3 linked regions of the Lonchura striata genome follow. The protein of the gene in region 3 purifies or fractionates together with the protein of the main gene of each other region. This does not show direct contact. Links are inferred from orthologs where the notes say so. Each region holds a gene or a part of one and is shown on either strand. Other genes may lie near its edges. The genes, in order: CHCHD6, IMMT and MTX2.

Region 1 (10,857 bases), on a different chromosome or scaffold from region 3:
ATATAAAATAGTAGCACGTGAATATTAAGCACCAATGACAATCCCAGTGTACTGCAGTGATTGACAAAAGCTTTTTGCTCTACTCAGCCTCATCTCAGCATACTTGTGCCTCTTCTCAGCACTGGTATGACAGCAACCTAATGGGTCATCATAACACCAAGGTGCCTGACTAATAGTAAAAGCTGCAGCAAGAAGTCCCCAAAAGTCAGTCTGCCTGCTGGGCAAGAACAAATTGGTTTGGGAGTCAGTGGTGTGTTCAAAAAAGGGTTTATGCTTTCTGGGCTCTAAAAATCAATCCTAGACCTTCCTCAAAGCATTGCAATACTTGACAGTTTTACAACAGCTGTTCTGTTACCAGATTTATAAAAGACTCAAACAAATGAAAACATGATTACTTTTTATCAATTTGTGTACATGCACTATTATACCCTAGAATAAAAACAGAGCAAAGTCTCAGGATATATCAGGTCAGCAGAATTTAATCCTGTATATATTGAAACATTTATTTCATACACTTGAGAGTTCAGAAGAGTTCTCTGAAGCTAGACAAGGACCACATAAACACACACCCCATACTCCCTGCCACTGGTAGAGCTGCACAGCCATTGTTCATGCCTTGGCAGCACAGAGTGACATGGTGCAAGTGGAGCTTGCAGCTGCACTGCGAGCCAAATGTTAAGTGATGAGTGAGGTGAGGAATGTTTCAGCCTAAATCCAAGTTTCTAAGTTCATCACACAAGTGACATTAAATGAATCCCCTCAAGCAGAGCCATTTTAGCCTGTGCAGGTTGGAAACATAGCAGGGGGTTTGTTACTTACCAGCTGGGCTGCTCTCTGCCTCTCCACAATAACACTGTTCCTTGCCTTGGCCTCACTGGCTGCTTCCCTTTCTCTCTCGGCCAGCCAGAGTAACTCCTCTTGGACCAGTGTCTGTTCTTCCACATACCTGTATGAGCATAAAAGAAGAGAGAAGGTCATCAGCAGACTTCTGGCAACATGGCTTGTCATGGAGTACCCCTGCTTAGAGCCAAAACACAAATCCAGAATCTATTTGACACAAAATCTGATCACAGTCCCATTATCAGCAGGAACTCAAAAGACCAACAAACTTTAAATATGACCTGGAATTCCAGTGAGGTACAGCTCTGGCAACAACAGCAGGCATAGCACCACATAAGCTTATAATTCTATTATATTTAGCTCTATTAAGTACTTAATTATCACCTGAAAAGAGTGAAAATAGGAAGCAGTTAGCCAGACAAATAGACATTGCTTTGGAAAAGATCAAGGGATATACAACAATAAAAGGAATCAGCCTGGCTGACAATGCTGCTCTTTGGCTCTTCCACAGGAAAGAAAAATCACACAAAATGTATGCAGCAACAGCACTGAGAGAAGCAGTCCTGAACCAAAAAAGGCTTCAAAGCCTCAGGTATTAAAACATAATCATAGAATAGAATCACAGAATTGTTAAGGTTGGAAAAGATCAAGTCCAACCATTAACCCTATGCCACCATGTTCACCACTAAACCACATCCCCAAGTGTCACATCCACAAGCTTTTTGAATACTTCCAAGAATGGTGATTCCATCACTTCCCTGGGCAGCTTGTTCCAATGCCTAACCACCTTTTCAGTGAAGAAATTTTCCCTCATACCCAACCTAAGCCTCCCCTGGCACAACTTGAGGCTGCTTCCTCCTGCCCTGTCACTTGTTACACTTGGGAGAAGAGACTGATCCCCAATCTGGCTACAATCTCCTTTCAGGTGGTGTAGATCCACGAGGTTCCCCCAAGTCTCCTTTTCTCCAGGCTAAACTCCCCCAGCTAGTCCCGAGCAGACCTGTGCTCCAGCCCCTTCCCCAGCTCCCCTGCCCTCCTCTGGACACACTCCAGCACCTCAATGTCTTTGTGCAGTGAGGAGCCCAAAACTGACCCAGGATTTGAGCTGTGGCCTCACCAGTGCCCAGTACAGGGGGACAATCACTGCCCTGGTCCTGCTGGCCACACTATTGCTGACACAGCCAGGATGCCACTGGCCTGCTTGGCCCCCTGGACACACCTGGGCTTGTGTTCAGCCACTATCAAATACACACCTATTATGCTCAGACTGAAGTAAAACACAGACATATGCATACATAGATATATTCCCAAATGAGTTAAACTCATTATTGTCTTTTTCAAGAGCTTCACCTCACCTCCTGTAGAGATCCTGCTCTGCAGCAGAGTCACTTGCCTTTGGTGGCTGAATTCCTAGAAAGGAGAAGAGAAACCTGTGACAACTAATAGTACTATAAATGTAGTCCTTCATCGCATCATAAATTGTTTTAGGATAATTTTTTATATTACTCATCAAGAGAAAAAAGAAAGGTCAAGAAAGTTAAGTTTGATGGATAGAGTTTGATTTTATGAAACAGACACACCAACAGCATCATTTTCAAACAGGCACACTGAATAAACCATGCTACAGAAAACTTCTATGTGAGGATATTAACTCCTGAAATCCTTATATATACTGAAATGTATATACACTGAGCATGATTGTAGACCTATTTTCCATTTCCTTCCTCTAGTTCCAGTAAGTCTTCCTCTTGACCTCCTTCTCTCCTTGTAATTAAAAGGGATTCCACAAGTGAAGATGAAATTGGCAGTTCAGGCCATCCATAAAGCTAGATATACATTCAGAAAAGACATAGGCTGACAGCAAACAAAACCCTAAAAGCAAACCCTAATGTCATTTTTGTCTGGATGCCTTAAACAAATCCACACTGCTGATATACATCACCAAAGTCTATTTGAGAACCAATAGAAATCAAATTGTTTTCTGACATGTAAAGAAAGACTTCACAAACCAAGTTTAAAGTTCAAAGTTCACAAACCACGTTGTCATCATCCACTCAGCCAGCTGTGCTTAGACAGGTTATCTTTCCCTATGAGCTTCTTTCCATAGAATAAAAAGCAGTACTTCCCTCACCCATGCACAATATACACAATATGCACAGCAGACAACAAGGCAGCTTGCCAGAAATTAAAAGCAAAATATTTCTGCCTTGTTTACTGCACGTTGATCTGAAATGCTAAAAATGCTCACAGAGTGATACAGACTAACCAAAGAGCTCCTCTCACAACGGGGCAGCACTGAAAACCACCAGCACCCTCTGTGACAGGCAGTACCTGTAGGTCTGGGTTTCCCTTCTGCAGCCAGTGAGGATGGAGCTGTGCCATTGGATGCACGGGGAGATCTCTGGTTGTCCCTTCTACTTTGAGAGGATCCTTTCATCCGGTTCACTACATCTTCAGTGAGCTGAAACACAGAACCAGCCAAGTCAGCTTTTCACTGCAGGCCTCCCCGTTTGTTACTTCCCATGATAGCACAGAAGCGCTCTCAGTTTCCTCACTGCAATTTCCCTCCAGTCCACGCAGTCAGCACTTGCATGTTGACTTTACATTTTTAAAAGCCATACCCTATCAGTAAGTGACAAAGTCTCCAATCTACTGCCTGACCCTAAAAGCTTCACTAGACAATCATTCACAAACACCAACAAAGGTGGAGACCATCCCTAAACAAGTCAATTCCTTGTATAGGGAAAAATTTACCAGAATTGGAAGGAAAGGAATTAAGCAGGTTTTAATCCATCTTTTCCTCTTCTTGCTCCATGTTTGCTAACCCAGCTCAGCATGGCAGCCATGCTGCAACCCACATGACAGACAACAGCCTCCCACCCACATAAGGCTACAAACACTTTTGCAACCTCAACTTCATTTTCACCCCCTGACTTGGGTTCAAACCCATGAAAAAGAAAGAAAAGTTAACTTAAAGTTTTCTGGCAATTCAGTCCAAAAGGCTTCTCACAGCACTGTTAAAATTTACCCCTTCCTCCTGCCAAGGTCAGAGGGTCTGGCTGCAGAACAAAACCAAATGAGGCTGTTCCCCACCTAGCTTGCCACAGTAGAAGACATATTTTCAGCTATACCACTACTACCCAACTTAATAGCATTTTTTGTACCATCAATTTACATTATTATCATGCCCAATTCCTAATTTTAAAGACACAAATCCTTGTCTATATCCTGTAAAGATAAAATAGGCAAAGACAATTTTACCTCCATTAAATACTTTAACAAGTATTTACAAACAAGATAGGCACAATCTTAGCTAACTTTTGTCAAATAATTAGTCAAAATGGGATGAAAAATAAGCAGCCACAACAACACTCTGAAAGTTCATTTCTGGCAGATTTTAGGGAGAAATCATATAAAAGGATCATGAAGCAAGAGCAATGAAAATTATAGTAGTAATAAAAAAAAAAGCCCAAAACTAACATGTAAAAAAAAAAAAAAATATATATATATATAAACGGGAAAAACTATTCCTTAACGGTAGCACCACCACTCTCTAGGGCTTATTTCCACAACACACACTTGTCAGTCTCCGACCGAAGGTGAAGAAGCAGTTCCCCGCTGTCCCTCCCGGAGCATCCCTGTGTGCAGGCTCTCGCCTCGCCCTGCTCACACAGCGGTGCTCTGCCCGGGCACCGTGAGCAAGGGCAGAGCTGTCTCCTGCTGGGAGCATCACGCTGCTTGCGCGGCACAAACGAGGTCACCGAGCAGCGAGGAGGGAACGAGGGCTGAGAGCAGAGCTTGGAAGTGAAAATAAAGAGCTGGCGTGCCCCAGCTCGACAGCAGCCATGCCCAGGCCCCCAGCCCTCTTTCTCACCACTCTCCCCATCACTTCTCCAACCCCCCACTCCTTCAGCCTTCCCGGTTCCACTCCCTTCGTCCCTGCTCCCCCACATCTTCCAGCGCTCCACCTCGCTCCCCCCACCGCCCGGCCGGAGCCCTGCGCAGCCCGGCTCCCTCCGCCCCCGGCCCCACGACACCCCCGGGCGCCTCACCCGGATGCCCTGCAGCACCCGGACGCGCTCCCGCTCATCCAGCCCGAAGGACACGCTCCTGCCGCTCTGGCTGCTCTCGCTGCCGCCCATGCCGCCCGGGGTCGCCCCGTCCTCGCCGCGCCCCTCTCCCGCACCGGCTGCCAGCAGCGCCTCTGCCCTGGCAGCGCCTGCCAATATACCCGCTCCCCATTGGCGGCGGCCGCGGGGCGGCCAATAGCGCGGCGCGGTGCTAGCGGCCGGGCGCGGTGCACGCTGGGGGATGTAGTTTTTTCCGCGAGCGGGCGGCCCGCCCGGTGCCGGGGATGCGCAGGGCAGAGAGGCGGCTCCGGGGCAGCGGAGAGCGCCGCTCCTGTCCCGCTGAGCCCGCCCTCATGACCGCTCCTGTCCCGCTGAGCCCGCCCTCATGACCGCTCCTGTCCCGCTGAGCCCGCCCTCATGACCGCTCCTGTCCCGCTGAGCCCGCCCTCCTCGCCGCTCCTGTCCCGCTGAGCTCGCCCTCCACGCCGCCCTGGCAGTGAACGCGGCACCAAAACTGCCCGCACATCTTCCGCTGCTACACGTCCAAGGCACGGCGCTTTGCCAAGCTGAGGAAGGATGACCTCTCGTCAGGCACAGCAGCTGCGCTGGGAGCGGAATTCACCTTGCAGCAGCTCTGCTCCAGCCAGCGGGGCCGTCCCCTGCCCTGACACACACGGGCGGGTCCTGCACAGCTCAGGCCAGGCTGATACAGTCCCCGTTGCCAGGCATGGCTGAGCCAACAGCCAGAACAGAAGGAATGAGATAATGCAACACAGAGGCAGCTGAACCAAGAAATAACAGCTTTGGAGAATCTTTTTCAAACAAGCTTTCTGCATTCCCAGAAATATGGGCCAGTTGGTATCAATGTGCTACTTATCTACTCGGCCCACTACTCCTCAGTAGTGCATGGGAGCAGTTTTAAGTGTTTAATGCTTATTGCTCACTGCGGTTAATGTGGCAACCAGAGCTTTGCCTCAGTCGGACATGGGCCAATGTTCAGGGAGTATCTGTGAGTCTGCACCCCCTAAACCCCTCTGGATATCCAGGTCTCTTCTAGAGCACATTCCTGGAAGTAGGGAATATTTTTGTTAATTGTGCAGCACCTTGTATGCTGGAGTCAGCCCATTGCTCAAGCTCTCAAGACAAGGGCACTGCATTGTGCAGTGTGAGCTGCCTGCACCCCAGGAACACCCTCACCAGCCAGGCAAGAGCACAGGGGCGCCTGAAGCTCCCTCACCCACCTCCTGCTCATTTCATATCTGCCACCTGCCCACTTCATTTGATGGTACCCGGTTTTTGCACTGAAAGAGCCCAAGAACAGATAGTCCTTACTCACCTCTTCTGTCCTCTCCAAGGGTTTCACAGGCCTGCACCATTGCTCTTCCAGGCTGGTGAGTTCTCAACCATGTGATTACCCCTCCAGAAGTCTTTCCATAATTGTGATTACTCCTGTCATCCTTCCCTAAGCCTTTCCAGGTGTACACTCCCAGCCAGGTGGCAGACATCACCTGCAAAGATCCAGGAAGGCCAGCTGGCAAAGGCAAACAAAGCCACATCACACCTGTGCCCATGCCTTTCTGCCATTTTTTTTTAAATCTTCAAGTTACTTTTCCTCCCCAATATGTCTCATTTAAGAAATAAAGCATGGCCATTTATGCCAAACTTAATTTTATTTATTTTACAAACAAAAATATACATTTATTCTATACTTTCTTTTCACCACCCCCCACATGTAACACACTTTGCTCAAGAACCACTTTAAGATGGCCCAAAGCATTATATATACATAAATACATAACAGGAGGAAGGTCAGTCCATGACCTAGTGCAGAAGCTCCTCAGCAGCAGAACATGGAACATTCCAGAAATTCTGGAGTCCTGCCAGCAAAGGACAGGATGGATGTTGACAACCTGCACAGGTGATCCTTCAGCACTGAATTCAGATGGTAAAAAAAGGCAAATTCATAACAGGCTCTTCACATCACCAAGAAGGGCAGGTAATTCCTTTCACTTAGGGTGTTGAAAGTCAACAAATGGGTTGACTTGGGTTGGAAAAGCAGTTGCTCTTTTAGTTCTCAACTGCTTTGTAATCTTCATCTCTCTTGACTCTGTCCAAGGCCCAGGGAAGCTTTGAAGGCTCCCTCACCCTTTCTAACCAGCAGCTCAGGATCAGTGTTGTGAGCAGCACCGGGAGCAGCAGCACAGCAATTCAGGCATCACATCACCCATCCCTTTTACAGCAAGCAGCCCAGCGTGGCTCAGGCCGACTGACAGCAGTGACAGAGGAGCACGGAACACTTCTCTAACGTGACAAGGGCTGACTTGGCAAGATCCTTGTCCAGCCCTTGCAGTCATTGCACAAAATGGAAATGTGAAAGGCTGTGACCTACAAGAAACTACTCACTCCTAGTACACAGATAGATGGAAGTCTTTTTTCCCCAGAAGTAAATAAAAATAAAAAAGGGGGGTGAAGGGTTGGGTGGGTTGGAGCATTATTTGTTTTCAAGGTGCCAGTGCTACTTAGAGGCCTGTAGGGAATAGTACCCAGGCAGACAGAGAAGCTGCATTGCTCATAAACAAAATAAGATAAGCAAAGGCCTACATAGTTTTGGCAACCAATATGAACTGCACGTTCTTACCCATGTTTTCTTTCCCTGTGGTGGGAACATCTGGTAGCAAACACCATTCCCTACCTGCTAATGATCCAAACCAACACCTCTACACTGCACCTTGCTTACTCTTACCTCAGTATTCTTCAGGAACAGAGTAAGTTGGGGCAAGAGATTCACACAGTCCCCAAACACTGCAAGTTCCCTTTTTCTACCATCCCTAGTGGGAAGCTGCTTACACCAGATCTCCACCTATCTGGTGGACTGGGGTAGGAAAGCACCACCAAATCTAGAGGAATACTTCATCCTTGGAAAGCACAGGATATCCCAGAAACCAGACTGATGCAGCCTTCACGTGAACAGTCACTGGATTGGAACACCACGTCTTGAAACTGCATGCCAGACAGCTCAGACAATAGGAGTCCCTCTTCCAGCACGGAAGAGGTTAATAAGAAGTACCAGGAAGTCTTTAAAAGGACCACTCCCCACATGCACATAAGCATTTTCAACATACTGAGCCATAAAACTTACTGAGAGCAGCAGCAGTCTGGGGATCTGAACTGCAATGTAAGGGAAGGACACTGCCAGAGATACACATCCAGCTCCCACTCTTCTCCCACTGCAGCACACCAGCCAACTCAATTCTAGCACACCTAAGGTGTTTGAGTTTCCAGTCACTAAATTCTGACAGCTCAGACTCATCATAGGCTTCTGCTCTGCCTCAAGCACCTGAATGTCTCTGGAGCCTTCATCTGCAGAGTCACCTTCCTCCTTCACAGCACTCTCTGAGCCCCTGCCAAAGCCATGAAGCAGGGTGCAGATGGAAAACACACCTACCTCACAGGTTTTACTCTTGAAACTCATCCCTGATTCAGTGTTCTTACTTAGACTTTCCTTTGAGCTCAAATGCACAGCACTACAGCTTCCAGAGACTGGTTCACAGCTCCTTCAGCTCAGCTAGACAGCAGCACTGCTTGTCCTTCTGTCTCCCTACTGTTCAGTCACTTCACATCCCTGCCGTGAGCTACCAGCCTTCCCCAAATGTTCTCTGGGCACAGAGAACAGTTCATTCCTCTTCATACCTCTTTTCCCCATACACTGAGAACATTCCTTTTAACCACTAGCAATTCCAACTCACAATTTTCAACAGTGTTAGCTGAAACCAAGGGTGAGCCCCAGTGACCAGCTTCACTCATCAGACACTATCACCACCTGTGCTGTTGTATTATGGCAAGGTGCAGGCAGCCATGCCGCTTAGCCCAGGAAGATCATCTTTGGTTTCAACCACCAAAATCTTTCTATATATGTACAATATAGCAGTCAAATCAGCACCCTCATTCCTAAACATCATTGCTCTAAGTGAGAAACAAGTGCTTTCAGTCACTGAAAAGGAAGAGGTGCCAGCCAGGACTATCTTCTGGGTCATATTCACATCAGGAACGTGGAGGATCAGGAAAGTTCAGTGTTTAAAGGTTTATGAACAAAACCACTCTACACTGTTCTCATGTAGCAACAGAAAGCGTTCTTCCCAAAAGGGTTTGGGCTGCCAACTTAGTGCCACAATAGGTGTTGGAAATCCTAAGGACAAGAGGAAAGCCATGGCAGGTAGCCAAGGAGAGGTTTCCAGTGGACATCCGAACAGCTGTGGTATCAGGGAGTTTGGAAGAAAGGAGGAGCACATGTCTGAGGTGCCCTGCCTCAGGCATTGATGGATTTCCAGCGGTCACTGTCTATGCTGTTGATGCTGCCCACGTGGTATGGCATAGAGGCCACGTCGTCCAGGTAGGCTGTGGTGTCAATCTGAGTGCTCGAGTAGAACCCAGAATCCATTCCTTCCTTCTTGGCAACAGCGTAAGGGTGGGGTAGGTGCACATCCACATCCTCAGGTTCATCCACCTGGCATTTGTAGGAGAAAAGGATCTTCGGTTCAGACCTGGAGTGATGAAAGATTTAAAATCCATGTGTTACCAATGTCGTATCACAGCTACCTATCCTTAATTGAAACTCATCAGTGTTAAGAAATTGTACATTCATACCTCAAACACTCTTTAAATGAGCTTTTGGTCTACAAATTGGTGGCAGAGTAACTGCCATAAAGTAATGCTAAATTAAGCTTTGGAAGAAGTCACTTAAGAGAAATACAAATGGCAGAATCCTGACTCTGCTGTGGGAAAAGAGTTCTCATCTTCAGGAGCTTTGAATTACTGAGGGCAACAGCACCCAAACACTACTGAACTCCACAACAGCCTGGCTACTGACACAAAATGAGTCAGAACAGGAGTATACTTCAAGCTCTACCTATGCACATCATGAAAACCAAAATACAAACACTTGTAGATCAGCAGTTTTCATCTTGAACTCCAATGTTGCCTTCTAATTTCAAAGGGATGCAGAAGTACATTTTTATATTTTAAAAGCACTTTATCTTCTTAGTTATTTTAAAGCCTGCTATTTCTCACTAATGACCAACAAATACTAAAGCCTACACTGAACCACTCGTTTCCCACCAAGGTGCATTTCCCGCGAGTGGCCACACGGCGGCGCCCCCGGCCTGAGAATGGACCTTCCCAGGGCTTTTCACTAGTGGCGTTTGGGCCACGGGGGAGTCCTCGGCCGAAGAGTTACTAAACTCCCACATCCTTTCTACCAATCTACCCCAAACCTACTCAGAAGACCGTTTCAACTCCCAGGGCTCGATTCCTCATTAAGCATTTAGCTATCAACTTCAGCAGAAAAGCTTTGTACTACAGACAGTGCTGATGCTGAAGAAGTGATCCTCAGAAATGTGTGAGGAATACAGCCATCAGATCTGCTCTGCATGTAAAGGAGCCCTGCACAGAAGTGAGCAGCAACGGGTCACAGAAATTCTTCAACGGCAGAAATTAAGACTGGCTCTCTAACTGGCATTCTAGTTGCTGTCTTTATTGTACAGACTGAGAGAACCTGAGTGCAAAACACTTAAAAGACAATTTATATACATACATCTAAACTCATCTTCCTGGCTACTCACCCAAAGAAACCTTTCAGGAATGCCACATAGATGAGAGGTGCAAAGAAGCTGAAGTAAAGGAACGTGGTAGCATCAACACAGCTGTCAACAACAAAAGGGAACATGAAGGGATTTAGTATTCAAGAACAATACAGCTAAGGTAACACCACTTACATCCTCCCAAATGATCCAATTTTCCTCCAAAGTGTCCAAAGATTAAGAAACATCATGCTAAACAAATTTAAACTGATGCAAAGCAATAGCCATTGTCATCAACATATGTCACTGCTTCTAGACACTCAGGGGAACCATGCCAAAACCCAAGGTCTGACCAAGAGCAGTCTCAGTAC
Region 2 (10,587 bases), on a different chromosome or scaffold from region 3:
AATGCTTAAAACTACTTTTAATTCTTAAGATATACACACAATTCTCCTTAAGCTTCCAAAGCTTCCAAGACCACAACTTTAAAAGAATTAATAACATGTACACTTTCCAGACAGACATCAGATTATAATATAAATTAAATTAGTATATGAAGAGTGATATTTTATTATATTCTACTTAACAATATCCACATTACCAAGATTTTTATCTTCTCTGAAGGACTGGTTAAGCTACTCTAAGCTTAGAGAAAAAAACACACTGTTGGCCTCAGAGGTTTTTTCTCCACATGGGAATTACTAACAGGGAAATACAGGACTCATGAGAAATCCAAGCACAAGGCACAAAAAGAACTTTTCCCACAGCTGAGGTATTTTGCCCAAGAGGGAATTTTTTCTTTAAAAAAGAAAAAAACTGGGAGATGTTTTACTACAACATAACCCCAAAAGACAAGTTTCTCTATTTCCTTTTGCACATGGCAATAACATGCACAACTCTTGTGGTTTAGGTCCTATCCCTGTCCAAGAGCACAGACAGGAAAAGGCAGGAACACTGCATTCTTATTCTTTCCACAAAGGCAGCCAAAACATTTTTAATTAGCAGCAGGAGCACATGTACAGCAAGAGGAAGCATGCTCTTCTTGCCCCTGAGACCTCCAGGAGCCCTCCCTGTGGGTGGTTTTCTGGATTGTGATGGACAGAAAGGGCAACAAAATAATAAATATATTCTGTAGTATTTTTGATTTTCTGACTTGACTGGCCCAGGAGCATTTCCTGAAGCGTCAACGGTCCTTTCAAGGGGAATTTCACTAATAAAAGCCTCGCAAATAATTTTGTTACCAATTTTTGAACATAACAAAACTTGACTCTCAGTATGTCCCCATTACACCATGAAGCACAGGAGGAGCAAATAATCCAGTATTATGCATACAACGCAATCCAATAAAATGAGAAAAGACCCTGATTTTCTATGCATCAATTCAGACTGAAATTCCAGTCCCTTCCAACACTTTAGGATTAAGTATTTTGCTGGTGCTCCCCTGGAAATAAGCCATCACTTCTGAGCTCCTGGCCAGGCTTTCTGGAGGTGATCCCACCCTGCACCACTGTCACTCCCACATCCTTGCTCGGGCTGGACTTGCCCTCTGGACCAGCTCAGCCCTGTCCCTGTTGGCTAAAACCCCTACTCACACCTGGTGATGGCAAACAACACTGGACCCATGTGGCTCCACACCTTCAGCAAACATCAGTCCCTGCCCTCAGGATCAGGCTGTGCTCAGGGAATCACCAAGACAGAGAACACCTGCTTCTCTTAGCTCAGCATTTATGCTTTATACAACCAAGAGGGGTTTTTTGGAGGGATTACTGATTTTAGTCCAGATGATCTTTAGAGATCTCTTCCAAGCTGGACTGTTCTAGAATTAGCCAAATGCTCACTTCTATTTATTTTTCATCAAGATGAGAGGAACCAAAACACAGGCCCTCCATCTCTGGCACTGGGACTCTCACACAGGTAGCAGTAATTAAACCCAAAACAAGCCCTCACCAACTCCATCTTTCAAGTCACTGCAACAAATTTCCACAGCTGGCCAGTGAAGCAGCAAATGAAAATCTGTAGGTACCCACGTTTTATGAACAGAAGCCCAGTTTTTTCCTCCCTCACATCCAGATACACTAAGACCTCCAAAAATCACTGATTTTTTAAAACATCATTTTTAAAGAAGTATTGCTCTCTCTTGGCCACCATAATAATATTACTTTTATTTGCTGTACCACCATAATATGGAGATTATCAGGTAGTTTCTAATCTCCCCTTTGCAAAATTTCCAGGACTTTGTAAATTTTCAGACCCCTGTCATCTATTTGTAATAATGCCTCAAAGAATTTTGGAGAAATTAATCACATGTGCTTTGCTGTGCCCTTCAAAAGGCAGAAACAAACCACTTTCTGTCCTGCAGAAGACAGCAAATTCTTTGGATGAGGCAGCATGGACGCAGCAAGGATGCCTACAGCAAGGGCACTGTAGGGCAGCTGTTTCTACTTCTTCCTCCTCCTCCTCCAGCAGCTCTAAATTATATCTGTTTCATTCAACTTCTTAAATACCTATTATCTTGCATTCATTACCTACTATTTAATCACCACAAGAGTCACTCTGCAGGGCACATCACACCTTTACTCTGGTTAATGAGTCCCAGTGATTTAAGGACATTTAAGGATATCCATGTGAGCTCACTCTGGCACAGCGCTCAGAGCAAGAACAGCATGGCAGAACTTCATTAAACAAATTAAATTTGCCTTGCAGGTTTATACTTTATGTGTAACTTCAAATAACCATGGCCAGGACACATCATCCTCTGCTCATTCAGTTCCAGCTCAACCTCTCTGAGGCTCAAGCATCCTGATCCAGAATTTCTGTAATGTGGGATTTGTGCACTTCAACAGAAAGAGCTAACCAGAAGCTTCAGAGAAGTTTTTCTTCATTAAGACAGAGACCAGGTACAACAAGAACATCTGACCACAGAACTCCAATTTTCCATCATTCAAGACTTCTGCCAAATATCACATACTTTTACTAAAAGCCCTGCTTATTTTCACAACAAACTTCAAAGATACTACAAGAGCAAAATCTCTCTGCAGCACTGCACATGTAAGCAGAAAACATTTCTGAAAGTGATGAAGATCCCCTTCTCTCAAATCCTCTTCAATTTACTTGTTACAAGTTTAGTGATGCTCCACATACAGAGCTCACAATAGGAAAGAATGAATAAAGAGCTGACAGAAAGAATAAAAGTAGGAAAAATGAATAACAGGAAAGAGGGAAAGAAAGAATGAATGAAGTTTTCCCAGTCTCCACCACAAGCTCCCTGGTACAGATAAAAATCTTCAGAGAGTGCTGTGGCATGTCTGTGTTTGCACAGTTCTCATGGATAAATGCTCCCCTGTGAGGGTGGTGTGGTGTTGTCCAGAGAATCTGTGGATGTCCTGTCCCTGGAAATGTCCATGTCCAGGCTGGACAGAGCTGGCAGTAACCTGGGATAGTGGAAGGTGTCCCAGCCCAAGGCAGGGAGTTTGGAATGAGAAAGTCTTAAGGTCCTTTCCAATCCAAACCATTCTGTGACTCTTCCACCAAATATTTATAGCCTGATGACCAACTTCCAGCTGCAAAGCACCACCCTGGCTGCTCTGGAGCTGTACAGTCATTCCAGACACATTCTGCTAAAGGCTGAGCACAATGCAAATAGGCGCAAGTGATAAATATCTGCCAAAGCCTGGTTTCTGTCTTCTCAACTTCCAGATGAAACTTTCCACAGGCAGGCAAACCCAGAGCGGGCATCAGGTGACCAAAGGACTCTCCAGCCCTGCAGAGCAGCAGAGGAAATGAAGCTGCTGCAGTAGGAAAGGCTGGAGCTTTAGAGGGAAGAACCTACAGCTACTCCTTTGCTAAATCGTGTGAACACAGGGTAGTGAACGCTGGGATGGAAAGCAGGACACAAAAGTGATCTAATCAGCTTATTTCTTATCAGCCAGCTGAAATACAACTTGGAGCCTCGGTAAAGGAGTCGCCCGCACCTATAAATCCCTGTGGCTTCCTAAAGTTGGCTTACTGCTTTAAAAAGGCTCCAGAGCACACCACCGTTCTTATCTCTGCTGATAAGCAGAGGCAAAGGTCCAGGGTAAAAAGCACGAGTCCCACAGGCATTTCTGCCCTGGGCATCGCGAGTTGTGTCCCACCGTGGGGACAGAAGGATCCCCTTGCACACGAGCGCTGACACCACTCGTGTCACACCCCGGGGCCGGTCCGACCCTCGTGGCGGCCGGGCGCGCCGGGGAAGGCAAGGTCACGTCCTTCCCGCCGGGGAGCGCGCCCGCCGCCCGTCCGCGCGGGGCCGGCGGGCCGTGCGCGTCCCCACCGAGCCCCCCCGGCCCCCGGGCTGCGCCCGCGGCTCCCGGCGCTGCCCCGGGGTGCGGGCCGGGAGCGGCGGAGCGGAGCTGCGGGCCCGGCGCGGCCATGGCGGCCGAGACTACAGCCCCCAGCAAGCAACGCTGCTCCCCGCCATCCCGCTAAGGACTAACACTCCCGCCGTGCCTTGCGGCGGCGCCGCATCCAGTCCCGCGCTGCCCTGCCGCGGTGCACGCTGGGACTGGTAGTACATAGCAACGAGCAGCGCCCGCCCCCCCGCCTCCGCTGGCGGTCGCGGCCGTCCGTCAGAGGCTGCGCGGCCAATCGCGGCCCGCGCGTGCGGAGTCATTCAGCGCGCGCCGAGCCGCGGTCACAGGGACTGCCCCGCTCCGCAGGCCTGGCCCGGCCGCACCGCTGATCACAGAGGGAGCGGGTCGCGGTGCTCCCCCGGGGAAAGCTCACCTGCTTGGCCGCGGCGAGCCCCGCTCGGCGGCACGCCCGCAGCATGGCGCGGCCCGCGGGAAGGCGCCGTGCGCGGGTCCTGCCGGCGCCGCCTCCGTTCCCCCCCTTCGGCGGCCACTGCGCCTGCGCGGGCGCTCCCGCCCCGCCAGGGGGCGGCCGCGCGTGACGGGTCTCGCGTGGCCAATGGGAGGGCGGGCACGGGCCGCGCGACGCCGGCGGGGCGGGGCCCGCGCGCGCTCCCGGGACTGTCGGGGACAGAATAAAATAAAATTAAATTAAATGAAAATGACAGAATGGGTCAGGTGGGATGGGGGCAAAGTCGGTCCAAAGCGCAGCACGCGGCACAGGACTGCAGCCAGACAGCGCTGGAATGTCCCTGTGGGAACTCAAAATGTCTCTCAGACATTTTTAGAGGTTCCAAGCCTTGGTCAGAAGCATTCTAAACCCTAGCAGACAACTGAAAAACAACTGTGATTTTGAGTTTAAGCCATGGAATGAATTACCAACTTTAGAGGTAGAACAAGCAGTCACAAAAGGTTAGATAGTATAGTAAAAGTAGTTACAAAGTAGAAGGAAAATTTTTTTAGTACTATACAGGGGGGTTTTAACACATGTACAGGAGGGTTTTCACTTTATACATAGGGGTCAAAAGTTCTAAGATGGAGGAAAGTAGGCTAAACCCATCCTTCTTCCTTCTTCTTCCTTACCTCCATGTTCTTAGTAATGTTGGCACTCACAGATTGGTTTAAAGTAGAAAAACACTTGGTAACGTAGGTAGTAGGTATTGGAAAATAATTGTAAACATGTTATACATAATATATCTTATAAAAGATAGCAGCAACCCTAGGCGGAGAGAAAAACGAAAAAAACAGCAGATAGAAAGGATGTCAAGGTGTGTGTGTGCCTCTACCCAAGCCGCTGATCAAATAGCTACAGTCCAAGAACATAATCTGTTAGATAACTAGCAATAAACTGCCTTAAGACCAAACAGCTAAGCCTGCGGAGTTTTTCTTTGAAAACACGGGTTAGAGGAGGAATTTCACCACCACATGTGGCCCCAAAACAAGGCTGGGGTTCTCACATGTCCCCAGTGAGGGAGGCTCCACACGGCGTCTGGGGAGTGCCCCAGCGCGCGGTCACTGCGCTGCGGAGTTACTCCGCGTGTTCCGGTGACACTTGGGGCACCCGCCTCTGCCCGTTCCCTCCTACCCTACCGAGCAGAGCCGCTCCCTGCTCCGAGCGCCGACCGTGTACGAAGAATTTCGGATACTAACGGGTATGGACGAGGTCTCCTCTCAGCTCTCCCCGAGGCTGCTCAGCCTTGGGAGAGAGACGCTCCCGTCCCCCAGTCTGAGTGTAACGCGGCACATTCTAAAGCATTTATCAACAATTTACAGCTGTAACCTTTCACAGCTCGCTCATAAACCTTCTCTCGCTCAGAGCACTCAGAAGCCATTTTTATCTCATCCTTCAACCAGTCCGGCCAGGCTTCTGAAGATAAAAAAGTGAGAATAAACCAGTAAAAAAGAAAAAAAAGTGAGAATAAACCAGTAAAAACACTGAGCTAAATCCACCTGGCGCGTTTCCAGGGCACTTTAGTGGCTTCAACGGTGTGTGCCGGTCACTAAAGGTGACGGGAGCGCGGGGGAAGGAGCGGGGCGGACGAGGAGGACTCTGGGGGTGTGAGGGATGCCGGCTCGGGTGCGGGATACCCTCGGGCGAGCGACCCCGGCTCCGCTGCGGGATCCCGGTTCGGGGGCGGGATCCCGAATGCGGGGCGGATCCCGGTTGGGGTGCGGGATCCCGAATGCGGGGCGGATCCCGGTTGGGGTGCGGGATCCCGAATGCGGGGCGGATCCCGGCCCCGCGGCGGCCGCAGTCCCCGTGGGCGGGACGCGGCGCGGCCCCGCCCGGCGCAGCGTGGCCATGGCGGCGGCGGCGGCGCGCGGGGCCCTGGCGGGTCGGTACCGGGGCGGGGTCGGGGTCGGTACCGGGGCGGTGTCGGTGTCGGGGCCGGGGCTGTCTGGCTGGGACGTTTGTGCTGAGGCTCTCCCGTGTCCCCACAGGGATCCTGCGGCGCTGTATCCCCCGAGCGCTGCCGCTCGGCGGCCCCTCCGCCCGGTGCGCGGGGCACGGACCGGCCCCGGCCCCGCTCTGGACCCCGCGGGTGCTCAGCGAGAACCGGCCCCGCGCAGGGACACGCTCGGTGCTCAGCAGGTGCGGCTTCTCCCGCGCTAAAAACCCTTAAAAGGGGTTTCAGATATATATGGGGGAGTTTCTCTCTATATAGCTTATATATATGTACCTAATATACATCTTTATTTGTATACTTTTCATGTTTTAGATGTATTATGTTGTTTCAGATAAATCGAAATAATTTTAAATACTATACATTTCGAGTATATGTATATATATATAACTATATATAACGATATACATTCCTAAATGTATTTATGTATAAATATGTTTTATATTAAAATAGATTTATTCATAAATACATTTAGGAATATATCTTTTATTCACTACTTATGTGCAATATACTGTGAATGTATTATGTATCCTATAACACATACAATTTATAATCATGTGTATTAATATTGTGTTGTTAGTATAGTCTATGTTATATGTCATAATATAATATGCAGTATTATATAATTATGTAGTATTATATGCAATACATGTTATATAATATAGTGTAATATGCAATATGTGTAGTGTATATGTTGAAATTTCTCCATATATATATATATGAATATTGTAGAATCATAGGTTGGAAAAGAACTCTAAGATCATCAAGTCCAACCCTTAACCCAGCACTAAATCATGTCCTCAAGTGCCACATCTGCACAGGTTTTACATTCGTCCAGGGATGGTGACTTGTCCATTGCCCTTGGCAGCCTGTTCAGGACTTGACAGCTCCTTCTGTGAAGAAAGTTTTCCTTAGAGTCAATCCAAACCTCCCCTGGCAAAAATTTCTCTTGTCCTGTTGTTCATTTCTTGGGAAAAGAGACTGACCCCATTACCCTTTTGTGTATATATATATATATATATATATATATATATATAAAATACATACAGAGATTATATAGATAGACAGACATACAAACACATGTATTATATATAAACTTCAGTCTGACACTCTTGGGCACCTTTGCAGTGGGTGTGTGTCTAGCCCCAGAGCCTCCCACTTCAGTCACCATTAATGCTTGAAGCAGGGGTTAAATTAGGATATTCTTTGCAGCTATATTTTACACTTAATCTTGCAATCACTACTGATTCTCTTGCTTCTGATGGATTTTGGACTAGATGGTTTACGAGGTCCCTTCCAACTCAAACTATTTTGTGATTAATATTATAAAAGTAATTTCTGAATCCAAGTAACAGCTGAATATTGGCTTCTGAGTGTTTGACTGCTTTTAGTAGATAAAAAAAAAGGTTCTCTGTGTGGAATAATAAGTTTGAGCTGAATTTTGACAAGAGTCCAGCCTTGACATTGGTATTCTGCACCCATTGGGTGCTGTGCTGTAATATTAGAGTCATTTTTACCCTTCAAACAAGCCACAGCTCTGCTGATCTCTCTGTGTGAGATAAAGGCAGTGATTTCTTTTAGAAAAAGGTGTTTCATTACTGTTCTGATTCCCTCTCCGTTTTTGGGTTGGTTTGTTTTTTTTTAGTGTCACACCTCTACTTCCAAGTTTACTCCAGCAGCCAGTGAGGACCCTCACCTACTGCAGCGCACGGAAGGGAAAGAGGAAAAGTGTGAAATCTGTGGTCAAGAGGTTCCTCCGGCTGCACAACGGCCTCTGGGTTAGGAGAATGGTGAGATTTTTTAGATAATGAGAGCCTGTTCTTTACAGTCAGAATAAAGTGAAATTGTTTTCCTTCACTTGGAGGGCAGTGGCTGGTGTGGAAGTTAGACAAGCTCTGTAGAGAGACTCCCATTTTCCTGAAAGAGGAGGGATTTATCCAGGTTTGCTGAGCAGTGTGGCTGTGTTTGTGTATTTGCAGTGACCTGCTAAGAAAGGGGATTTTTCTGTGTGTGTTTTCTCCTAACAGTCAGGTTATAAGAAGAGGCTGTGGAAGAAATCAGCTGCCCAGAAGAAGCGTTTGAGGGAGTTGGTGTTGTGCACGAGGACACAGTGTAAGCTCCTGGATAAAATGACCACTTCCTTCTGGAAAAGAAGGAACTGGTACGTTGATGACCCCTACCAGAAGTACCACGACCGCACGAATCTCCGTGTGTAGAAATCTTGGGTTTGCACATCTCTGGGAAAGGGGCAGCAGTCCTGTGGCATGGTCTGGGTTTTGGACCATACATCTGTGGTTTTTTAAATAAACATGTACGTATCGTCTGAGCAGAGTTATGAGAATCAATGCCCACAATAAAGGAATACTCAAATTTATCTTCATCTGCTGTTTGTTTTACTTAGCAGAGGTCAGGTTGGTCACCCACACATTCTGATGTCTGGTGGTTTCCTGTGATTGCTTGTCATGGAGGAATACACTAAACAGCACTAAAAGTGAATAATTCAACATACTTAATCCTATTTTTTTTAAATAAATATGTGTAAATAACCCCAGAATCTATTTTTCTGTATCCATACGAAGTGGTGGCTCACTGAATAGAGTCTTCTAGGGAACAGGATAAAAGAGACAGGGTCCATCTTAGCATTTTTGCCTCTCACAATAACACACTATTGCCTTGTGTCCATGCTAGGAAGTGTAGGGGAAAAAAAAACCCAAACCAGAGTTTCATAGCTACGTGCTGGTTTTATAACTGATTTTAAAATGTATTGGCCACCAGCTTTCATTACAGGACTCACGTTTTGTGCCCTCTGTTGGTTTTTGAGTAGTAGAATCTATTCTCTGTGTCCTGCACAGCATCCTCAAGCAGATAAGTCAGAGTAATTTCTTGTTTATTTTTCCTTTAAGTCTGAATAGACTTCATACTGCACATTCCTGGTCACACATAACTGGAACAAACCCAAGGATTTATTGTGGGGTCTGTTTGGAGTGAGCAGATCAACTAGACCCTGGTTTTGCTAAGGGTTGGATCAGATATTTTCTCTACAAAGCTGATATTCCAGAAAGTGTATGAAAGCAATACTTTAAAGCATTCCAGGATAACCAATTTTTGAGCAGACAGTCCCTGGTTATCAGTCCCAGAGCTGCCTGTATAGCAGAGGTGGTTTGCTGTACAAGGCTGTAGCATTGCAATGAATTCACTAGTTACTCAGTGTTCAGTAGCTGTATTTTGTTCTTTTTCCAGTTCATGATACAGAAAGTTCTGAAGGACATGCAGCACTTAGTGAATACATCTATATACAGTCAGCCAGAATTCAGATAAAAATAATACAGCAATCAAAGTGATTATTCTGGCCTGCCAGATACATTGAACAGACTAAAGATGTTTGGGTTTGTTTTTTGTTCTTTTTTTTTTAAATAAAGAAAAGATTAAGACTTTATTCAAGATGTATATCAAGCAGTATAACAAAACCAGCAAAACATCAACCTTTGGAATACTGTTGTAATGGCCGTCCTTGTGAGGCATCAAGTGTACCATGGTATCACAGAACTTTTCTACCCATCACAGGAAAGAAATCACACCAAGTGCACAATTATGAGCCTTAAATAGTTTGTCTAAACGCAAATCCCAACGTGTTCTCTGCTAGTTCAAATGTGCTGGATGCAAAACAGGTGCCTGAAACAGCAAAAGGGAGACTGTGGGTGAGGAGCACAAGGGTTCATCACAACACGAGGACTCGCCAGCAGCCAGAGGCAGCAGGTTGTTTACAGGAGGAGCATCGTCTCCAAGCAGCTTTCTCCCTCCTAGCAGGAATAAATTGCCTGATTCTCTTCCCTTCTGTGCTGGGTTTGCACTTCTACAAGGTTTTTAGGTTGATTCATTCCAGGGTGACAGGGACACATGTGAAGTCTGTCTTGTTTTTGATGTGATCCTGATTCAGCAGTTGGTGACTGCTGGAGCTGCACTGATGCTGATCCCTATGGCAGGAGAGGAGGCACAGATGGGTGCACTTGGCTGCTCCAGGCTTATGAGTTTATGGTAAATTGGGGAGGTCATTCCCAGGCCTGTTTACCACAGACCATCTCCAGCTGCAGTTTCCCTCCCCTCAGCCTCAATTTTATGTGCTTAAAATAATGCATGTTTCACTGGAGCCTTGGGATGGGTAAAGGCTGTTTCCTAGGGCTGGCCTGTTCTCTTCAGAGTT
Region 3 (11,041 bases):
ATCAAAATAGGTGCTACATTTGGTTTACTAATTTTGATACCATTATTTCTAGAGCAATCTCATTTATGGAATGAGAAAAGAAGACACTTTAGCAGAAAACATGTAACAATAAAATGCTGATTAGAGAAAGGCTGCTTAGTCTTAATGGAGACAGAAACAATTATAGAAGCATGCTTTATTATAAACTGTAATTATGCTGCTGCTTAAAAACAAGGAATAACAATATTTCAAAATGAAATATGTACTATACTACAATAATTGTGAAAGTAATGTTTTCCCTGACCCAAAAATATAGACTGGATAAGCAATCCACTCAAAGGATTGGTCTAAACCAAGTCATGAAACATGTCTGAGCATAAATTGGCAGGAGTGACATAAAAAACTTGCTTATTGAAACTGAACAGGACTTAAAAGAGATTCCTTTCAGCTTGATTACCAAATGAAAAGCACACATGTAAAAAACACTGTTTGTCATGTAGTCTGACAAATTTGGTATTTTCAAATAAACTTTAATTTTTCATTACAAGAACTTCTGCAGCAGGTTTAAACAATCTCTGCTGCCAACAACCTATTTTAAGCAAGAATAGCTTAATTTTTTTTTCACCTCACACATGGAGGAAGTACTAACATTTACCTATGCGCATTTTGATGCAAAAAATGCATACTCAGTTTAAATATCATGTCTTTATGTATGGGAACAATTTAGGTGGTCAGGTTTTGTTCCAAATGAATTTTTTCTCACTCAGATTGAAGCCTGTCTCAATACATAAAACATGCATGTCAAAGATTTATTTGTACTCCAGCATGCCACACTGGAGGCAGACTCACTATGAACATAAAATACCTTAAGGCAGAAAGGCACCTGCTTTTCACACTGCATTCATTTCCCTTAGTATTAAAACCAGCCTAAGACTCTTGGACATAACAGCAATAAACAGAAGTAGTTTTCCAGAGATCAAAGGACAAGCAACAATAATTATTTTCCCTCTTTTGATCACTGACCTAAAACTAATGTATTTTGGGGGGGGAAATAAAGCATATTGAGTAATTTAGTGATCAATTAAATGTATGTTCAACAATCATTTAGAGATTATTTGAGCAGTCAGCTTCTCAAAACTACTAGAGTTAGAAAGATTAATGTTGTAGACCACTTGAAAGCTGGCACTCTAATTCTTCTTACAGTATAAACATTCATTTCCTATCCCGTTAATATGTGATTGATGCCAAGCTATTCTAAATAAATTCTCTATCATATTATTCAATTAATAATTTCTACAGTTTAGAAATGGATGATTTAAACTGTGATGCTTCTTTTTTATGAATGCTTGCAACTCATGAAGCTATGGAAATATTTATTATTCCTTGAGACATAGTATCAACTTCTTCATATTCCTGAATGAGCAAATGGCTGAATGCCACTAATGCAAGCATTACACTCCACACAGGTGATTCAGTCTCAGCCTTGTGTTTAATCACTGACGCGTTAGAGCAGCAGGCTGTGCCCAGCGTGGTCAGGTAAATCATGTTGCTCAGGGAGGATGCTGAATTACTGCAGCACTGCAAGCAGGCTGAGAACTGATGGGCACAGAACCACTGAGGCTGGAAGGCACTTCTTGGATGTCCACAGCAAGCCACAGCAGGTTGCCCATCTCCACTCTCCTCCAGGGACGGAGACTCCACAACTGCACTGAGCAATCTGCTCCAATGTTAAATCATCCTCACACTGAAAAGTTTTCTTACATTCAGATGGTGTTTTCTGTATTTCAGTTTGTGCTGAGATGGTGAAAGTGAATGCACAAGGCACAGGCAAAGTGAAAATACGTAAATCCAAATACACACACAAAAAGTTGGTGTAAAAGGAAGTTCTGATCTTCTTCTCCACTAAAACCTTCTCCTAAGGTTTTAAAACATTTCTAGAAAACAAATTATGCTGAGCTAATTGTCTTAAATACTTGTATGTAAGGACCCATGCATTACAGCTGTTATATGTTAAGAGCAGCAGCAGCTGGTTGCAACTGCTATGACAAAAGGACATCTTCATGAACAGGAACCCAATGAAAATTCAATAAAATTTCATTTTTAAGAACATGGAAAAAATTCTCAGTCATTCACAACCAGAGATACAGGATAAGATGCTATTAAAACAAGTGTCATTGTAAAGCAGTATTCTTTCCTTGCAGATACACCATTTTTCTTCCTCACAAATACTCCTAGATCTGGGGGATATTTATATCTTCTTAGTACCAGAATTAAATACTCCCTATGTCTGTGTTAACATCGCAGGAAATCCAGATGTATGATGGCTATTTGCCAAGATCCTGGTTAGCCTTCTTTAAATTTGAAAAATCTTTGAACAAATTGAGCAATGTTGCCATTACTTACTTTCAATCTGGACGCGGTGCCTAACACAGACAAGCTACAAAGGTCATGACCCACTGGCAAAGGTATCTTTTATTTTTAAGGCAGATAACTGCTTTTAAAACTGTGAAACAACAGCTTTTATAGTAACACAGCAATGAGACGCCTACATACACTATGCTTTTGAAGTTGTATTTGTAATTCGAGAAATAATAAGTATTATCAAGCTGCCACTCTAGAATATTCATAAAGGTCGCAGAGCAGACAGGAGAATCAAGATTCAGTCATGTACACCATTATCCTTGTATTTCACAATATAAATAAAATATACTAAAGAGATCATAAAGGCAAGTAAATACCCTATTCTCCACATCCCAAGGACCAGGGCTCTGGCCCTCAGTACATAAGTGCGGGTTGTGCTAACATCTATGTATGAGCAATTGCCAACTCAACAGGCTAGCACAACTTTCAGGCTTATCTATGGGAACCTCAACAGACCCAGACTGAAGACCCACCACCTTTATATGACCTACAAGTCAGGGTACACTCATTTTTGAGAATCCAGCTCAGATTCTTAATTTGAGGCCTTTACCAAGTGGCAGAAGACCCAACTGTTGAGACAAACCTCTAGCATCCTCCTAAACAGGTCAGTATTTATCAACACGCTGCTTAGCAGCAAAAATTCCAGAACAGGGAATAAGAAAGGAGAAATTAACCAAGGCACTTATTTTAAGCATGCAACACTCTAACTGGGCTTTGAACTTCCTAGCCAGGCACTATCTAAGGTTCATGCTTTGGTTTTCTCCTTAAGAGCATATTATTATAATTTTTTGCTGAATAGCTCCACAGTGACGCACACACTTTGGTTTTATCCCAAGGTCACGTTCAGCACAGACGGCGCCGCTGCAGCGGCTCCCGGGAGCACGGACAGGGAGCAAAGGTCCCGTCAGACGCCCGAGCCTCCCCGCGGGGACACAGGGGACGGAGGGGACACAGGGACACAGGGGACACAGGGGACGGAGGGGACACAGAGGACACAGGGGACGGAGGGGACACAGGGGACACAGGGGACACAGGGACACAGGGGACACAGGGGACGGAGGGGACACAGGGACACAGGGGACACAGGGACACAGGGGACACAGCGCGCCGCCGCGGGGCGCGGGCCGGGCACAACGCCGCACCGAGCTCTCCCACGCAGCGGGGCTCAACGCCAGCCGCCACAATTATACACATGACGCGGTTTCTTGGACCACTGAAGAAAATGAAGTGTCAAAGAAGAAGTTATTACACGAAAGTAGCGACACGGCCCCGGCACAGCCGCGGTTAGGAGCCCGCAGAAGGGACCCGGTGGCCGCGCGGAGGAGCCGTGCGGAGGGACCTGTCCCCGACCCGGGCCGGGCTCCGCACGGCACCGCGGCCGCCCCCAGCCTGCCTCAGCGCCCTCCCCGCGGCGCCGCGGCCCCATCCGAGGGTCACCCCGGGGACTGAGGCCGCGGCACTGAGGCACAGCCCCGGCGTCCCGCCCGCCCCCGCCCCTCACCGGCCAGCTGAGTCACGAAGGCCTCGGCCACCAGCGACATGTCGCGGAGCGCGGCGGGCCGCGGCACGCACAGGAACTGGGCGCCGCGCCGCCGGCGGGGAGCGACTGCATCCGGGGCCGGGGCGGGGCCCCGCGGCTCCCCCGCCCGCGGGCGCAGCGCCGGGGCCCGCGGGGCCTGCGCGCCCGGCGCTGCCGCCGGAGCCGCGGGGATGCTCCGCGGGGAGTTTCCGAGCGGCCCGGCCTGGGAGCGACAGTCACTCCCTCCGTTAGCCCAGCCTGAGGGCAAACCCCGGGAACTGCCAGCGGGGCACCGCCTGCTCAGCCTCTGCCCCGGGGCACGAGGGAGCGGAGCTCCGAAATGCTTCCCGAAGCGTCTCGGGGCAGTAGGTTGGAACTGAAGGGTACAGCTGCCTTGTCTTCCTCCCAGTTGGGAGTCTTAATTCCAGAAGACAAACTGCTTTTTGGAACGTACACCTTGCCTTTAAGCAACCATAAATTTCTTGGTCTCAATTCGAGAATATAAAGCCTACCTAAGTGTTGGAAAATGCTATAAAATTATATACCCGGTATTTTGATTGCAGAGAAGATAAAGGATACGTGGATTACTTGTTTCATTATCTTGCAGTCCCTTTTGAGCCTCATTTCTTTAGCCACACTTTAATAAGAATTAGATTATCTCATTTTATCAAGTATTACTTACTCTACTGTGAAGAACGGCACAACATTTCAGTCTTGTAAAATCTTAAATATTTTATGTACAGAGGACATGGGATATAAGCATGTATTAATGTTTCTAAAGTATGTGAAACTCCTCTGGTGGCACTTACTATTGAATCATTCTTCACATGAATATATTGAATATATTCTTCACATGATAGTGGAAGCATGCTATTAGAGCAGTAGCAAAAGCAGAAGAGTCAGTAGATACATTGGAACAATGGTCTGAGGACTTAAAATAGTAAATAAGAGAACTGAATATTTTTAAGTGCTGATTAAAGCTTTGTTTCTAATTACAGCTGTAAGTTGAATAGCATTGAAATTACAGAAATTCTGAGCAGTCTTGAGAAGCTGAGTGGCTTTGCACTAAGAGATTGCAAGAGTCTAAATTAAGCTGGTTTGTGCTGTTTGAATCCTTTCATCATCAACAGTACTTAGAAGGCTAAAAACACAAGCCATGGGACAAAAGGCTGAGCTTGAACTAGGAATAAACTAGGCCAAATCCATATATTAGCAGCCAGTTTAAAAAATTATGTTTCTTTGTAGAGCTTGGTTTGATACAAAGATGTAATATGCAGAAATGGAGGCAGATGATGCAAAATAAATCCCTGATTTCAGTGCAGAGAAGGATGGGTTTTCAAGGGAAACTGAAAGCAGAATTACACTGTCCCTTGGGCTTTGCATTTCAGAAGGTCAGCCCTCAATGAAGGGTGCTTACACGGGCACACCAAAGAGATGGAGTTCAGTTTTCTTGTAGCCCATCTTTCCACTGTAAGGTATTAGTTGCTAGGGTTAAACTGACTGCAGGTGAAACAGGACTAGGACACATACACACATACATTACATTTGAAATAGTATGGAACTTGAATAGGATTCATATTCTGCCTAGGAAAAAACATCTGTTTATATTCGTTCCCTTAATATTATTTAGACAGCTTTTAACATCTCTTTTTCTCTGTTAATATTTTACAAAATGCATGGCTAACAATAGTGCATACCTTTATCTGTAGAATGAATTCTTTGTGGATATAATTGCTAGGAATACTTTACAAAAGGAATTGTGAGATTACAACAAAAGACTTTTCTCGTGCATTTTTTCAAGCTGTTTGCTTTGTAACACTATTGTTGGCCATTCAAATTGCAGTCTAGCTAGCCATATGGATGACAGTAGATAAGATTAAACGAATCACCAGAAAATTAAGGCATTTAAATTAGTTTCTCAAAAACTGAGAACACTGCTAGGTGTCATGTGCAGTTCTCAAGTTCATGAAGCACATTTTGGGCTAAGTCCAGTTTAAGGTTGACACAAGAGTATTGTACCAGTCCAACACTGATTGCAAATATTCCTCTTCAAAAAACTTGGGATGGTAGAGGACGCTGCAGAGTTGATCTGTGTTGCAGTATAACATTTCTTCATCCCAGGACAGCAAGCTCAGGGCACATGCTGCTCAGCAGACCTCATCAGAGCACTTTCTCAGTGCACAGCTGGGTATGTCTGCCTAAAACACTGCTCTGCATTTCCACGGAGCAGGTCTCTAACAAGTTAGGCCTTTCCAAGACACAGGAGGAATGCTGACAGTCACAGATTCAATTAGCAATGGTTCTGTCAAAGAGAACTGTGCAGAAATCTTGCACATGGGTGAAGTGTCTGAAGACTCCTTGTGTGGTACAGCTGGATTTTTGAGAAAAGGCCAAGAAGTAGAGAGCCATGGGGGAAAAAAACAGCACTGAAATGCCTTCTCCTTGCCTGACCCACAGTCAGGCTGCCCCTCTCATGTAATTTAGGGCATCCTAGGGGCTGCCAGGCATTATGGTGCCTGTCAGTGTCTTTAAAGAGCTATTATGGCTGCTGGAAATCACCACAATGAAGGAAGACTTGAGTAAGTCCTTCCCTGCCAACACATCCAGTGCCAGGCAGCAGCAGGAGGGTGTTTTTAGCATGACTTCATGCCAGAGGTTCTCTGTACACTAAATACCTGGCAAAGTACACAGACCAACAGAAACAGATGAATGTAGACTAGCATGGTCAAATGGATCTAATAGGACATTTGGTATACTTTTAAGGCAAGTGTTTGCCTATCAGCCATTTCATGCAATCCACTGTTCAGCGTGAGGAATGGTGCCAAAACTACTCAAGCATGAGCCAAGTTGCAAATTTTTCAGTTACACACACAGTCCTGTGAGTTTACTAAAGAAATACCATTATATGGAACCTGAATTCAAAATTGAGGCCAAACACAACTCTGAAGCTCCAATGCACTTCCTTGAAAAGTTGGTGTATATGTTTTGTGGTAGTGTCCTTGATGGAGTAAGAAATAAATTTGGGTTTATGAAAGTTCAGGTGTACCTTACAATCAATTTTCATACTAAAATGAATTGCCTGCTGCTGACAGTATTCTCTTATTTGCATAATCAGGTAGGCTCAAAAGGGTTTAATTGCTGTGTAAACAAGATAAGGTATGATTTCTAGGAACATATGTCTATAAAAATACATATATATACATACTGTACTAACATTAATCACTTCACACTTAAGCATTCTTAATTCTAAATGAAAAAATGCTGATTAATTTTCCAGCAACCTACATGAAGATAGAAAGGGTTTATTAGAGTTTTAAGAGATACCAGAATAGCATTTCTGAAAGCAAACAGGGAATCACAAACTGTATGAATGCCATTAGATTAATCATTTTCTTCTCCTTTTCTCACCTCCTTTTCTGCATTCTTTTATTCAGCAGGGTGAGATTTTCAGGGGTACCAGGCCTACTTTAGCACATCTGTCATTCCTGCAGCTGCACTGAGCAGACATCAAAGCAGCTGTTCAGAAACCCAAATTTCACTATTTTATTTACTGAAGGTGTTACCAGCCCCCAGGCTCTTGCATATCCCTGTCATTCCCAGCAGCTGCTGAGGAATCTTGCTCTGTGCTCTGAAATAACTAAGTCAGACCCTGATCTTCCCAGCTTTACCTGAGTTTTCCCAGAAGGGCTCTGCAGGTGGGCAGGACATAGCCTCTACAGCCCATCCCAGTGCCCTCAGCCCAGGCCAGGCACTTCCACAAGGACAGGGACATCAGCTCATAGGTCAGACTCTGAATACGGAGGAGCCGTGGCCAGGCAAAGAGGGCAATGGCCTGGACTGAGCTCTGAATAGATCCACTGGGCCACTGGAGCAGAGGCTGTCCCAGCTGGGGCCCAGGGCCGTGACAGTGTCTCAGCTGCCCATGGAGCTTATTTCTCCATGCAAATGGTGGATTTAGGGCAACAGGCTTCACACAGTTTATGCTTCATGGGATCAGGATTTGACTTTTAAACAAAATCTCAGATCAGAGGGACCTGCAAGCAGGAGCTTCCAGAAGGAACACAACAGATTTGTCCTGGTTTCCCTGTCTGTGCTACTGCACAGTCCACCCTGTCTTCCTCTACTCTTCCTGCCAAACTCTGCCTTTGGTTTCCTTGGATCCAACCTGTGTTAACAGGCTGCTTCCATACTTGTCTATCACTTTTTTAATCCCTAGTTGACCAGACACCAACAAGTCTTTTTTTAAAATTATGGATCTGACCTGCATTGTCAAATAGCACAAATGTCAACACAGCAATCATGACTCTAGCTTGCAGTAGCAATGTCTGTAAAGGTTCATCCTGATATTTGTATAGCTCATACTGTAGCAAAATCTAGATCCATCTTGTTAATGAAAATAAGAATGATGATTCACAGTTTGACTGTAGGCACTGGTTAGGCAAGTCTTCTCAAACCCTACAGATGTTATCTGGAAAATTAAGGAGTTGCAATTGAATTCAATTTCTGGACAATCATGGTAAATACTGAGGAGGTTTATTAATTCATCAAAGCTCCTTGTGAGAGGGTCTAAATCCTTTTCTGGAGGCCAGCATAGAAAGAAGGTACTTTCTCCTTCTTATTGTAGAAATTATCAAAACTGCCCACCCTGCATGGAGGGAAGAGGCAGCTGTACTGAAATATTTATCTGCAACATGCTGTAAGAGGGATGTGCTGTGAATTATTGTAGACCTGGGCAGGAAATGGTTGACTTGTCCCTAAAGATTTTTGAGATTAGGAATGTGTCGCCATTCCACACCAGGATAAAACCAAAACCCTTTACATAATTTAAGAAAGGGAGAGGGACCAAAACCCACCTACAAAACCCTCTCATCAGTCTATGTATGGAACTCTTTGAACACCTGAGAAGAAAGTTTAGTAGAGAATTCATCAGATCCAAGCCATCCCATTCAACCTCCACATCCCTGGGGAGTGCTTTATGGAGACCAACATGCAGGAGCAGGGACATGAGCCTTGCTGATCTTGCATGAATGTTGTCTCTGCTGAGCCAGGATGGGGCTTAACTCTTGGCTTTTCATGCTGTTCATTTCACTTCAGCAGAAGAATTGTGACTGGTTCTGCCTGATTACTTAGTCCTTATAGAAGCAACCCATTGTTCATACTGGCTTTTCCTTTTTTACAGCTAAATGCTGCAGAGCTGCATTTTATAAAATTTTTACCTCTAGATGGGAAATAACCTATTTTTAAAAGCTTACATGGAAATTACTTTATTTTCTGAATAATTTCTCCCATGTATGTCATAAATAAGAAGTTTTCTCTAGTGGGGTTTGTTGTTTTTTTCCCAACACCTCCAGTTTAGACATATAGCCTGATCATCAGAGTGCTATTCTGTATTTTTAAGGGAGGCAGGGAACTGATTCTGTAGATGCAATATAGCAGAAACTTCAGAAGTTGAATTTATTCCATCTAAAATCATTGTCTTGTTCCATAAAAGGAACAAGAAAAGCTTTGCCATATCTTCATTACAGCTGTAGAAGTTCATACTTGACATAGTTTCTCCCCAGGGTACAACTGTGGTAAGGAAAAAAATTATGCTGACTGAGATAACTTGAATGTATCTACATTAGAAACACATGGCCTTTCTGGTTGTAGCTATCAGTTGGTGAGGCTGGAAACCTCCTGAGATTCATGAGGAGATGTGGCAGATCAGATTGATTCTTTTCCTGGCACCAGGAGAAGGATGTGAGAAAAGCACCAGGTGTTTTCTTTGGTCTTTGTAGAGACAGAGCAAACAGAAATAAAAAATTATGCAGCAATGATTTCAGAGCATTTTGCAAATAAGATGCACTTTTAATATTTCTGAGCACTGGGACATGGAAAAGGAATGCCTGGTTGAGAAATATTTTGAGCCACGTGAGCCGTGTTCAGTTTACATAAGTGTGCAGAGAGCACAGGCTAGCTAAATTTCAGCTTAATCCAGCTGACTTCCAGCCTAGTCCAGCTAACAGCCATGTGTATGAATGATGTTCCAAATCCCTTACTTCCTCTCAGCTCCCTGGAGGCTGGCAAAAGTTACAGGAGTAATGTTGCTAGCATCTGAAACCCTCTTAGTCAGATGTTTTAGAACTAAATGTGCTTAGTTAAATTAATTCTAGTATAGAAGACTTAGAGTGATGAGTCAGATGGCCAGTCTGCCTGAACTATCAGTAGAGTTAGATGCAAAGAAGACCAATGCAGAACAAGCCTTGAGACTGACAAATCCAGCAAATGTAAGTGATTGATGGTGACATTGCTTGTACATCATGTGGCCACTGGTGAGGCTCAGGCTGCAGCTGATGAAGACTTCAGGGCACAAATTGCAGGCTGGTAGTGACCACAGATCTGGGTGTCTCTGTCTGGATGTGACTGATGCCAACATCTAAATATGCCATCATACCATCATCTTTCTATTAAATAAGGAGAAATTCAAATTTAGGAAAAGTTTCTTCAGAAAAACAGGGCAAAGCCATGTTCTTTCAATTCTTGAAAGCATGGCCACCTGCCTCTGGGATGGGTGAGCTCTCTTGCAGGCCTTAGGTCACTGGTGGTGGAGACAACAGGACCACAGATGGATGGCACTGACAACCTGCAGACAGGATGTAAAGTTTTTATTCTTGTTTGGGTGTATCTTTATTTTTTTTCTTTCAAATTTATTCTAACATCAGATTTGTGAGAGCCTTTTTCTTGTATAACTCTTGCTGCAACAATTCACACATGTAAAATCCCAAATCAGATTTAAAAATCTATTTGATTTTATACTACATTTGAAAAGCAACCAGAAACATCAGATGATCCATTTCTTAAGTGAGATGTGACATTAAGAGTGTTCAGCCAGTCCTGTCTTATTTTTTTAACTTTCTGCCTGGTCCCATTGAAATTAAAGTCACAGTTCTCACAGTACTGGTTACAATTACAAAATTTTACAAAATCTTGGACCTATTAGAAGATGTCACCCTGTTACGTGCACTGTTGGGGGCCAGTCTCTCCAGCATGAGAAAATGGGTTTGATAGCTCATTGGTGTCATATACCTACTACACATTTACTCAGCTGGATTTCTAAAGGGAGAGATAGATTATTTTATTGAT

The links.
Region 1: the proteins of MTX2 (region 3) and CHCHD6 purify together in Homo sapiens (co-immunoprecipitation; 3 studies listed by BioGRID and IntAct, counting the BioPlex papers as one, with this or other methods). This does not show direct contact. The link is inferred for Lonchura striata from reciprocal best matches to the Homo sapiens genes MTX2 and CHCHD6.
Region 2: the proteins of MTX2 (region 3) and IMMT purify together in Homo sapiens (co-immunoprecipitation; 5 studies listed by BioGRID and IntAct, counting the BioPlex papers as one, with this or other methods). This does not show direct contact. The link is inferred for Lonchura striata from reciprocal best matches to the Homo sapiens genes MTX2 and IMMT.

The regions. Positions count from the first base shown.
Region 1 is NC_134614.1:13,509,559-13,520,415, reverse strand, and holds the start of CHCHD6 (MICOS complex subunit MIC25), read right to left. Parts: upstream 5,080-10,857; 5' UTR 4,983-5,079; coding exon 4,893-4,982; intron 3,302-4,892; coding exon 3,172-3,301; intron 2,251-3,171; coding exon 2,196-2,250; intron 947-2,195; coding exon 820-946; intron 1-819. Other genes in the region: TPRA1 (transmembrane protein adipocyte-associated 1), read right to left, coding at 9,217-9,451, 10,529-10,609. UniProt on the Homo sapiens protein: Component of the MICOS complex, a large protein complex of the mitochondrial inner membrane that plays crucial roles in the maintenance of crista junctions, inner membrane architecture, and formation of contact sites to the outer membrane.
Region 2 is NC_134606.1:6,065,818-6,076,404, reverse strand, and holds the start of IMMT (MICOS complex subunit MIC60), read right to left. Parts: upstream 4,469-10,587; 5' UTR 4,403-4,468; coding exon 4,358-4,402; intron 1-4,357. Other genes in the region: MRPL35 (large ribosomal subunit protein bL35m), read left to right, coding at 6,128-6,317, 6,424-6,574, 8,032-8,176, 8,414-8,602. UniProt on the Homo sapiens protein: Component of the MICOS complex, a large protein complex of the mitochondrial inner membrane that plays crucial roles in the maintenance of crista junctions, inner membrane architecture, and formation of contact sites to the outer membrane.
Region 3 is NC_134610.1:22,180,864-22,191,904, reverse strand, and holds the start of MTX2 (metaxin-2), read right to left. Parts: upstream 4,034-11,041; 5' UTR 3,942-4,033; coding exon 3,902-3,941; intron 1-3,901. UniProt on the Homo sapiens protein: Involved in transport of proteins into the mitochondrion.